Linked DNA regions of Schizosaccharomyces pombe. The main gene of each other region encodes a partner of the protein of the gene in region 3 in a complex. Each region holds a gene or a part of one and is shown on either strand. Other genes may lie near its edges.

Region 1 (3,756 bases), 1.6 Mb from region 3:
GTTTCTGCTACAATACTTCTAGCATGGAACGTGCCAGATGGCGCAAAATTCTTTGCTTATTTCGCTTCTGGTTGTACATATGCTGGACAAGCAGTTTGGTTTTCTTGGGCAAATGACATTTGCCGGGATAATGATCAGGAAAGAGGAGTTGTTGTGTTTTTGATGAATATGTGTCAGAATATCTGGCATATTTGGTGGGCACCTATAATGTATCCCAATACTGATACGCCTCGATTTATAAAAGGATTAATTGGTTTGCTGGTGGTAGGAGGAATAGTCTTTGTTAGCTCTTGTATTGTTAGTTACATGCAAATCCGCGATAAAAGAATTAAACGATCCATCCAGGATGCAAAAGATTTCGATGATGTATTCACTGAGCATGAAAGTTTAGAGTTAAAAAAAATAGGCAAAAATGATGAGGAATCACTCAACACAACTAATGCGGTCAAAGAAATTAGTTCTCCAGGGCTTGTGATAACGCGACAGCGAATTTCCATGCCAAAAGAAACGAATGCCCAAGATTAGTACTAGAAGATTAATGACATAGTATAAATATTCCTTATGCCTTTAAGTACACATTTAGAGTAAATTTGCTGTTCATATTGATATCAACCTAACATAAAAATTTACCACAGTTGGCTCATCTAATTGACCAAGCCCTTTGACGCAAACGCAAACGAATACCTTTGCACACATACTCAAAAAGAATCTGCTAACAAACGATTTAAGGTGCAGCTGAAGTTAAAAATTTATAACCATTAAATAGAAATACCAACTATACGTATAGTTTGGATGGTATCCGGCAATGATCAACAAGTTATTGAGTATACATCAGTCCTAAAGGAATTTAGCGATGGTGTAGACTTAATGGAGCTAAAAGAAAATTTTTTATATATTAGGACTAGAGAAAAAATTGAAGCTAAATTAATCTGGGCAGGAGAGTGGGAATGGAAGCCCGTGAACGAAACAAATGAAAATAACTTGGAAAGAGGGAGACAATACCCTAGCGCCAATTCCGCACTAATGGAAAATTCTCCAGAATTTGCTAAATGGTTTCATGGACAATTGTTTAATCGGCTTTGCGTTCTAGGCTCCACATCTTCGTCGAGAAAAGACATGCTTTGAACAGTGTTGGCTATTTTAAGCAAATTTTAGATTAATTCGAACTCAAGCAAAAACTCAACTACAAAAAGAAGAAAGAATGTCTCAAAAGAATATAATATTCCATATACTTATTATTTACGTTTGCGTCGCTCACCTCCATTCTTTTTAACCATAACTGGATATGGCTTAACTATAAACCCTTCTTTAAATCGGTTTCTTTGGCTTGCAATGTATTTCCTTGTACGTACATCAATACCTTCCTTTTTCATAGTTTTTGTACTTTTCCTAAATAGACCATCCCAAGACTCGAATTTTCCGTTCACTTTTTCTGCAGTATCTCTTCCAATTCTTTTAAAGAAATCATTTGTATTAGAAATCCCTGAATCTTGTTAGGAATTTAAATTGCACTAATGTTTTGAAATCTCATACCTGATCTTGGACTAGGAACAGTAGAGGCATACCGGCAGTTAGAAAAAGGAAATATAAAATTTCTTATAATGAAAATCCTCTTCAAGATCAACATATTTACCAGTATTGTTTTAAAAATATTTGGTTGTTTAAATAAGTTGTGTACAGTTTCTGGAACGTATGCGAAAGTCTCACAAACGTACTAGCGACTCATAGTGCGACCATGTCAAGCTTAGTGCCTGCAATTATTAGCTATATAAATCCTTGCTTTTAATTCTTTTATGAGATTTACTGCATGCAAACTTTCAAGTCCCTTGAATATCTCAAACTTCTACTTCCGAAAAGTCATTACGTGTCTATTAACTAATCAATACAGTGAATCTACAAATTCCTAATTGCGGTTTTTGTATAGCAGGAACTCGTATTTTGAACATATAAATTACCAGTTATATTTTCGGGTGAATTTTTTGAAGACTCTACTATGTGTATTTAAAGCCCACTTACTTTAATTGTAAAAACATTAATTTAACTAATTATAGTGAATGTCTGACTCTAAGCTATTTATCAACGCATTCCAACCACCCACGAGTTTGTTAAGTATACAACAAAAGCACAATTTCTAATCACAGTATTGGAGATGTTTTTTAAAAATGAATGTCGATAATAATAAAGGCAATATTCCAGAGCTCCTTTGGAATGGCACTATTTCTGTGCGCATTGATTATGAAGGTAATTCTCTGGCCTATCTAGTATGTGATTTGTTCACTCAAGTAGTAATTTAATATTCTTTAACTCAATTTATTTTTTCCTTTTTGCTCACCATATTCTACCTAAGGCTAACGTCCCGCGACAATCATATTTTGCTCAAATACTCCCAAATGTTCAACGTCTGTTGGCACCTTCAATCCCTTTATCAGAATGTTGGTTGGATTATAATGGGGTTCCTCTTAAATGGTATCGTTTACCCAAAGTAACTTTCCGTAAATTAATCATAATATAGGCATTGGCCTGTTGGCTTACTTTTCGATTTGTTAACAGTGTTTGATCCGGATACTCCTCGAGCGCCGGTGCTATGGCGCATTCAATTGCGCTCAGGTCTATTTCCTACAACCAAAATACTTCAAATGGAAACCATGGATACTTTTCGAACATATTTTTTCAACTGCTTAAAAGAGGTGCGTTCTCTATCACAAAAACATATATGATTTATTTACAAAAGGGGTAAATCCATATTAACTTTTTACAGTCTGATTACGTTCGTAACGGAAGTTCGTCTGGAATAATCGCTCTTTCAAAGGCAGAAACAGACACCTACTGGAATGCAATACTCAATCATGATTACTATGATTTCCGTCCCATTGCTATAAAAATACTTTTTTCAAAATCCAAATTCATTCCTTTAAAAATTTATTTAGGGGCCAATGCTCCTATTATACAAACTTCTGCACCTCTTGGTAGTTCTCTTGGTGAGTTTCTCAATAAACGCCTTCCCGACTTGTTTCCATCATGTGATAAATTCTTAATAGTTAAACCAGTTATTCATGGTATTACAATTTTTCTTCAGAGCGTTTTAGACGAGCTCAATCGAGATTTCTGTTACATTGATGGGTTTTTACATATTGTTTTAATGAAAGTTTAAAACATTTACGTCTCTTCTCTAGCTCCTTTAGATAATTTGTTATTCATGTACAAATAATTTTAAGATTTGTATACCCATGCAGTCTAGCAATGACTTTACAATGACATTAAGGTGCGTTTGAGTACTCCTTTCCCTAAACAAACTGCTTTTTAAGAAGTAGGAAATGCAACGAGATATAGCATTGATAATTTGACTATGAAAATTTCTTTTTAATGAGAAGTCGTAGATTATGAAGACCCATTGGCAGCAACACCAGATGTTACTGTCTCAACAACACCCTGAAGACGGTAATATTTCTCATATGGAGATTCACCAGACTTGATTTTTGCTTCATTCACAGAAATACCAGGGTGACCGTTAGTGCTTAAAAGCCTAGTACTAACCTGTTTCAAATCTTGTCCTTCATCGAGCTTTTTCCAGTGGGATTCCCGTACACTAAAAGGCCCAAAGACATCTCGATCAATTAATAAGTATTCCTGTAAAACTGAAGGATCGTTGGATTGGTGGCAAAGATATTCCATGTATAGCTTTGTAAGATCCATTATCGTCCTTGGCGGTAACCTTGTTTTATTTCTAATCATTTCCATTACATTAGAGACACGGGC
Region 2 (3,756 bases), 360 kb from region 3:
TTTTTCTGAGCTGGACCGGAAAAAATATTTCCGAAACTCAGAAAATCGTTGCATACTCCCATCTATATTCCTTTACTTCTGTCAAATGCTTTGTACATTGGGCTCAAATTACGCGTCGCAAAGTATTACAAATGTACGATGACAGTCCAGGATTTAAGCCAAGTTACTATACAAATCTTAACCGAATTGCTCGCTATCCGATTGAAAATATACGTCTACCTATTACTTTAGTTTATGGCAGTAACGATAACATGGTGGACATTGAAACACTCAAGACCCAACTTCCACCATTATCTCAATGCATTCAGGTATGTTCTGAAACAGTTGTAGCTTCATTTACTTAAGTGGAAACTAACAAGTTAAAATTAAAGATTCCTAACTATGAGCATCTCGACATCATCATGGGAGATACGAAAAAGGACATAGTAATTCAGCAAGTCGTAGAACAACTAAATCATGTCATTGCTGGAGATTACTTTGAAAGCATAAAAGAAGAATTTGGACTTGACACAGAATTGGTTGACGGCGTTATGAACCATACAATATAGTGTTCATCGCTTCTGAAACTGGCACAATGTATATTTAATATGTTAGATAAGTTTCTGTTCTAAATCAAACTGAAGCACAGTGTTGTATAGACTGTTTCATCGTATGTGCAACCCTTCTTATCAGTATTTGTATTAAACGGCTAAAAAAAGTTTCTTTGTTTAATTTGAAAAAGTCAATATGGCAACGAAAGCAAAAAAAACTATGCAATTTTTATATGTACAAATAACTTTTAGATAATGCAACAACTAGAAGAATTTGCTGAGTGAATTTGTAACAATTCAAGATTTTATTTCGCAAAAGTTTGAAATGGATTGTACTGCCGCTAATGCATGCTAAGGGGGTAAATTTTCTTTCAAAAACGGGAAATAAATGCTTGATTTTCAGGTAGTAGATTTTTTTCTCTTAACATAAATATCCCCGCCGGTATCCCTTCTATACACATTACCAGTAGAAAGATCAATGAGCCTAAAAACACGCTTCCCAACTTCGCTGGGGCTTGAAGAAATTAGCTCTTCATCTTCATTCAAATCTTTGTGCTCATCAGATGTTTTGTGGAAGTGAGTAGCGTTTTGTCTCATGTTTAATTCCTCAATCGAAGGCCACTTCAGGATTTTAGCAGCCTCTTGAGGTGTAAACGTTTCTCCCTCAGGCAAACTCTTCCAAAGGGATACTGGATTGGAACGCAAAGGAATATCGTTTCCGTCATTAAACTGCATCATCTCAGGTTTAGTACATGCGTTCAGCATTTTCTCCATAACTTCATTATAACTATGAAGAATCGGCTTCTTTTTTTCTTCGAATTCATCATTTATTCTTCTCAACTTTATAAGAGCTTCAATCCTTTGTGGAGATGTGTTGAATTTTCGAGCAAGCACTTCTATACTTGCACCCTGCAAGTATTCATCGGTAATTTTCATACGCAAAGAATGAGATATAGGCCTAGGAGGCTTAAAAAAAGGGTTTAAAGGGAAGGGCTGATTTGTATTAGGTCCCAAGCCTACATTACCAGATGATGAGGACTTTGCTTTCTGTACTTCGGGAGACATTAACCATTGAGCCATCATTAAACGTTGTTTATGACGAAGTGTATTCTTAGAAACTGAAGAAGCAACATCATTTGGGGGTGTTACAGATCTTGAGTTGCAAGCAACGTACTTTGAATCAATGTTCTTTTGAGTGTGTTTATTTAAATCAATATTTCCCCCATTGCTTAAAAATGCTCCAGTACTAAAGAATTGTTTCTTGACTGCTGAGGTATAAGTTTTATTTTGAGATAAATTAAAAGCCGTTTTAAGCCCTAACTGTGAGAATTCCACTGAATTCCTCATTTAGGTGCGTTGGAAAGGTTTCTTGTGTCACTCCCCAAAAGTTAGTAACACGCCCTAATTCTATTCATCAAGATAGATATAGAAAATAAACTTCAAAAAACCAATAATTAATGAGACGATTTAGGAAAACTCAAATTTAACCTCCGGCGGTCAAGCAATCTAGCTCCATTATAAGATCCGATTAACATACAGACGCTTGATTTATTTATGAGACAATAACTCTCAGTATGCAATAAAGTAAGATTTTGTTTATTCTATAGAATGTTTGAGAGTCAGTTCCAATATTAGGATACGAACAGTTATACACATCAATACTTAAAAAATAAATACACAATTTAAGTCATAATTTCTACAGAATCAAACGAAAAAAATTCATTAAATACGGTCATTGCTTCTTTAGACAAGAGTTTCGCATGTCCTTGATATTTTTGTTTGGCAATTGACACATCAACAAATAATAAAGCGGATGGATGGCATTAAATTGATTAGGAAATTCCAAATTGAAAATTAAAGTAGAGGAAAGTTTTAGAATACATGTTATACAAACAAAACGATTTGTGTATCATATTTGTCAGAAAGTTCATAACCAACAATCTCAGCTTAATACCTAAGTTTATTATATTCGGCAAAAAAGGGGAAATAGGTTTAAGGAAACATTTATAAACTTACCTCAAATTATTTAGAGAGTAACCAAAAACCCAAAAAGCAATCAACTAATGAAGAGTGCATGGGCTTAACAATTATTCTAAAAACTTTAACTGAGATGTTTATTTCAAATGTTGAAAGGGAGACAATTCAAAAAGATTTTTAAAGTTAAACGACAATAGGCATATAATTGACCCTACTAAGGCAAAATCCAAAGTGCCTTTCAAAGACCATTTTGTATTTGACCGACTAAATCGTAACCCACTTCCTTTCAGTCTATTATCATAATGTACATTATTGCGAATATGTGTTTTAGAGAAAGCATTTTATGAAGTCATTATTTGGTATCCGAGGAACACTTCAGTAGTAGTTCCTTGCCATCCTCGATTTCCACTAGCTGAAAACATGAATTGACAAGAAGTGTCTACATAAAGCGAACTGACAAGACCTCCATGATGACCTGGAATAATTAAGAACCCTATGCCGGCCTTGCTTTGAAGATCATAAAGGCGGATATTATCAAAGGAGGAAATTACAAGGTGACGGCCATTCGGCATCGAATAGACATTTGAAACAGGACCCGAATCGAGAGGCATTTTTAAAGAGCGAACAGGCTCCTTGCCAGAGTGAATGTTATATTCTTCGACGATTCCATTTCGGCGGCCAATATATATATTATTTCCATCCGGACTCCAACATGCAGACATAGCCCATGGTGGTACACCCTTGGGGACGGGGTATTTGAGAACAGAATCGACCATGCGATGGTCCCATACATTCATAACTCCATCTATAGACGTCGTTAAGAAAATATTGGACTCTTCGGATGAAGATTCGGAAGGAGCTTTTATGTTGTCATTGTTAGTAGTAGATTCGGTTTGAGAGGGTTTTTCTGTCTCGTTCTCCTCATTTGCTTGAACAGATTTAGTTTCTTCTTCAATGGCTTTTTCCACCTCTTCATCAAACAGTGCATCGTAAGAAGAGGAAGACGCAGGTGTACCGAACAAACTACGCATGTCGTCCGATTCAGAACCCCAAGGATTTACAGCGCCTGATGGACGATAAACTATATTCGAAATTTGACCACTCTCACAATTGTATGTAGATATTGCATCACCAGTGTTAAGGTCCCAGTAATAAACCATTTTGTCCCAGCTTCCACTCAATACTTTTTTCTCGGAACCATGTAATGCTAAACACGAAACAGGAGCCGTATGCTTTTTTAAAGAAGTAA
Region 3 (3,756 bases):
AATGATTTTTGGTCCAGAGATTGGCATGTTTGTACCAAGCCCTATTTCAGAGTGATTGCTTGGGATCCAACTATTGCCCTCACTGGAAGTAAGTTTCTGGCAAGTTGTTCATGTTTTTTCCTTTCAGCATTATTCCATGACTTTGCCTATTGGTCAATTTCTGGACGCTGTTCACCTGCTTTCTTTTTTCAGCTTTTAATTCAACCTTTCCTTATTAATCTTGAAAAAAGGATTCCCCTCTTGCGCAAATATCATTATTGGGTCCTAATAATCGAAATGCTTATTAATGGAACATATGGTATGGGAGTCGTATTATTAAAATTTAAGTGGAAAACATGCTCGCAAATTTAATTTACTGTTTAATGTCTATGTTTGACCTTCCGAAACCTCTAAAGTATCAGATAATTGCTATGTGTCCTAGTTTATACATTTAATGGATGGTTCAACTAAATTAACTTTTCCGTAGATATTGTTGGAATGTTAAATAATATATAGAGGGAAACATTACATTTAGCATTCTAATTCTCATTCTTTGCCAACAGTAATTACAAAACTTTATTTATTTATAAGATTTGTTAATAGTATGGGTTTTTTCAATCAGATAAAGTGAACCCATAGTAAGCCACCATGATCACTTGCATACAAAACGTAGCCGGGAGAGGAGGGGAGAGAAGTAGAAAAAGATTGAAAATTGTGCAGGATTCAGTCGGGTTAGCTAAAGGGATTCAATGCGCGTAGCTTGGAATCTATTGTTGACGACCGTCCAATTGATCATATCCCACCATTTTGTAATGTACATTTTTTTACCATTTAAACCATAGTCGTCAAGATACGCATATTGCCAAAGGTTAACGCATAAAAGCGGTACAATTGCATTGGTACGAAACTTAGGAAATCCTGTTCCCCAAAGAAAGGCATTTGACGCATTGTACGTGCATAATAAGGAAAATAAAGATTTTTCTGGACTATATACCAACCACAGCCAACCATCACCAAAAACTGAATTGCCAACGTCAACCATTTGAGACTTCAACTCACCAAATGAACCGAAGGATGCATCAATTCCAGGCTTTAGGTTGATAGCTCCTAAATCTGCATCTGCAGAGGGCCGTTCTGGAGAAATAAGGCCGGAAAAGAAAAAATCATGATTTACCAATTGGCTAGAGTAATTGAATAAATTAGCGCGGGCTGGGTCACTAGCGCTTTGAACCATTAAATCTGAAGGCACACGATACGGAGTTTGATGAATTTTACATTCTTTTTGTACTAGGCCTCGTAAGTGGTTGTCATAAGCAAAGATATTCCTGACCGCATCTTTTGACAAAAAATTCTTGTAGCCCACGTCCAACGCTCTGGCGAAGCGCTGTTGAAAACTCATTTGTTAAATTGAGGTAATAGTTAGGGAATGGGTATAAAAAACTGCAATGGAAATCAAGTATGCGGGTTTAAATTTTGTAATCCTAAGAAATTGGCAAAGACGACCAAACTGTATAATTAATTCATTAAGTATTAACAAAATATGAAAATCAAATAGTGTAGATGCTACGTTTTTGAATGTTTGAAATATTTCAACTTCAATATTGGTAAAGGCGTTCCACTCAGACCGCTCAGAGAGAGGTAAGCAGCCCTACTGGCGCAAGTAAAATATCGGTATGAAAGTTCTGCATTCCTTGTTGCGATATATACCATTATACCACTATATAAATTTTTGAAGTTGAATTAACAGAAATCTAAAACTTCGTTGAAACTTAACTAGTATTACAATGAATTTGTTAACAAGTTTCCCAAAAAAAATTGTGAAAGTAATCTTAAAGCGTTCAACGGGTTTAAACGGTGGATTATAAAAGCCTTTATTCCCAATATGACCATGATTCAATTTAAAAGTAAGCTGTATGACTCATTTTCAATCAAATTTACTTCGTCTTTTATAAGAAGATTCATTGACTTGAGAAGAAGAAAAATAACTTTAATATTCGAATGATCACAACTTTTATGTGAAAGAACTGTAAATATGTTAAACGTTTATAAATGACAATTGTGGCCGTTTGGTCTAGTGGTATGATACCATCTTAGGGTGATGGTGGTCGTGGGTTCGATTCCCACAACAGCCCGATTTTTTTTTTTGTCTCAGTAATTCAAGAGACCCTCAAATTTTTTATGTAACCGTTTAGATTGCAGCCTAATTGTTCAAAAGCTTACTCAAATTTGATCTAAACATTCGTGATTAATCGTTTATGAAACCATACGCTAACGATTAATTAGGAATTGATACAGGTTCATAACACCGTTCATGGATTGGAAACATCTACCATTTATTTTTAGTTTTAGTTAACTAAAATTGTAAGTGCACTGCATTTTTTTCGAAGCTTCATTTCTTTCATCGTTCAAAAAGCTGCTTTGGCAATAAAAAAAAGTTTAAGGTTATTTTTAGCCGAGGCTACTGGGATTGTTTCATATGCTTACAAGCGAAATAGGGAATAACTAGCTGCATACAAATGTTTTTGAAGAATACCTACCATTGGGGCTGAGCTAGAAGAAATATGGGATTTGAGACAAAAAGATTACTACTATATTAAGGAAGAACTGCTGAAACTTAGACGGAATAACCCAAGTATGCATACATGCTGCCAAGCCCGGTCTTGTTGCAATTTCAGGCTCTACACAACAGTAACAAGTGATTTATGGATTACGGATACTTTTTTTAAATTTAATATTATCTGGTTATAGTTAAAATAGAAGATTGTTTCACTATCCACTAGTTTTGGATTACATGCCATTAGTGATCAGGGCTATAAGCGAATAATTTTCAACGTTTCATCTGACCCTGGTACAATTTTTTCAGTAAGTCACATATTTATTTATTTTTATCCAAAATAAGAGCTAGATGCGTATTTTTTACAGGCCATGCCACAGTCTTTTTTAATTGCTAATGTATTAGACTGTGTCAATGGTACGAGACATTACTAACGAGTAAAGGTAATTTCTTCTATAGGATAGATTAAATATACCACCTAGAATTAGCGATGATTTTTACACAAACTCAGCATGTCTGTTTTGTAATTACCAATCCGTTTAATTTATTTGATGTGCGCTCAAAAGATATATAACAATAATCAAGGACAAGAAGCATGAATAATTGATGACATACTAACATACATTTTAAATAAATTTTTGTAATACAACTAACCGTAATACATCGGTTTTAGTAACCATTTTTGCAATTGAGAGTATATGTTCCTTCAGTTTAGCTAAGGTCTATTTATAACATTTCTTCTCAATGATGTCGTAAGTATTAATTGGTATTGATTGTTTTCGGGCGGTCGAAATGGTTTGGGAAGCGTGCAAGACAAGTGAAGAATAGTAACATCTGGCTAGTGAGAAATAGCTGAGAACGAATGTACAATTCCTTTGATATATAGCTTCTGCTTGTCATACAATTACCGGTGATGGATACGTTGTCTTTCCTTATCCATCTCTTTTATAAATAAGGATTCACTTGCAAGTGTTATGTCGAATAACGCAACACGGAGAAGCCTTTTAAATCCTTAGAAACCTTTTCTTGCATTGACCAATAATGTACGCTGAGAGGAAGGTGGTAACCCCTTTTATTGGCTACGTGTAACTTTAGCGAGTCAAGATATTGGCTTCTACAGAATCGCTTTAGTTCAATACGTCCAATTATCAACAGTTATAGTATCAAATTTAGCATTAGTAAACGAATGATTGGGTCGGTAAATACTTTCACTGTTTTATCGT

Evidence for each region.
Region 1: SPOM_SPBC3H7.04 (region 3) and fyv4 share a complex: the UniProt entries of both Schizosaccharomyces pombe proteins name them as parts of the mitochondrial small ribosomal subunit.
Region 2: SPOM_SPBC3H7.04 (region 3) and bot1 share a complex: the UniProt entries of both Schizosaccharomyces pombe proteins name them as parts of the mitochondrial small ribosomal subunit.

What each region holds. Positions count from the first base shown.
Region 1 is NC_003423.3:3,431,597-3,435,352, reverse strand, and holds the start of fyv4 (mitochondrial 37S ribosomal protein mS41 ), read right to left. Parts: upstream 1,686-3,756; 5' UTR 1,628-1,685; coding exon 1,534-1,627; exon of another isoform or gene 1,484-1,533; coding exon 1,236-1,483; 3' UTR 1,126-1,235; coding exon of another isoform or gene 793-1,125; 3' UTR 526-792; coding exon of another isoform or gene 1-525. Other genes in the region: plasma membrane pantothenate transmembrane transporter Liz1, read left to right, coding at 1-525; SPOM_SPBC4B4.12C (uncharacterized protein), read left to right, coding at 793-1,125; autophagy-associated protein Atg5, read left to right, coding at 2,163-2,261, 2,348-2,466, 2,513-2,687, 2,759-3,151; U1 snRNP-associated protein Prp39, read right to left, coding at 3,379-3,756. UniProt on the Schizosaccharomyces pombe protein: Component of the mitochondrial ribosome (mitoribosome), a dedicated translation machinery responsible for the synthesis of mitochondrial genome-encoded proteins, including at least some of the essential transmembrane subunits of the mitochondrial respiratory chain.
Region 2 is NC_003423.3:2,231,235-2,234,990, forward strand, and holds bot1 (mitochondrial ribosomal protein subunit S45), read right to left. Parts: upstream 1,889-3,756; 5' UTR 1,878-1,888; coding exon 930-1,877; 3' UTR 549-929; coding exon of another isoform or gene 372-548; 3' UTR 309-371; downstream 1-308. Other genes in the region: SPOM_SPBC14C8.15 (triglyceride lipase-cholesterol esterase), read left to right, coding at 1-308, 372-548; SAGA complex subunit Spt8, read right to left, coding at 2,849-3,756. UniProt on the Schizosaccharomyces pombe protein: Component of the mitochondrial ribosome (mitoribosome), a dedicated translation machinery responsible for the synthesis of mitochondrial genome-encoded proteins, including at least some of the essential transmembrane subunits of the mitochondrial respiratory chain.
Region 3 is NC_003423.3:1,875,182-1,878,937, forward strand, and holds SPOM_SPBC3H7.04 (mitochondrial 37S ribosomal protein mS42), read right to left. Parts: upstream 1,601-3,756; 5' UTR 1,379-1,600; coding exon 716-1,378; 3' UTR 473-715; downstream 1-472. Other genes in the region: SPOM_SPBC3H7.05C (uncharacterized protein), read left to right, coding at 1-351. UniProt on the Schizosaccharomyces pombe protein: Component of the mitochondrial ribosome (mitoribosome), a dedicated translation machinery responsible for the synthesis of mitochondrial genome-encoded proteins, including at least some of the essential transmembrane subunits of the mitochondrial respiratory chain.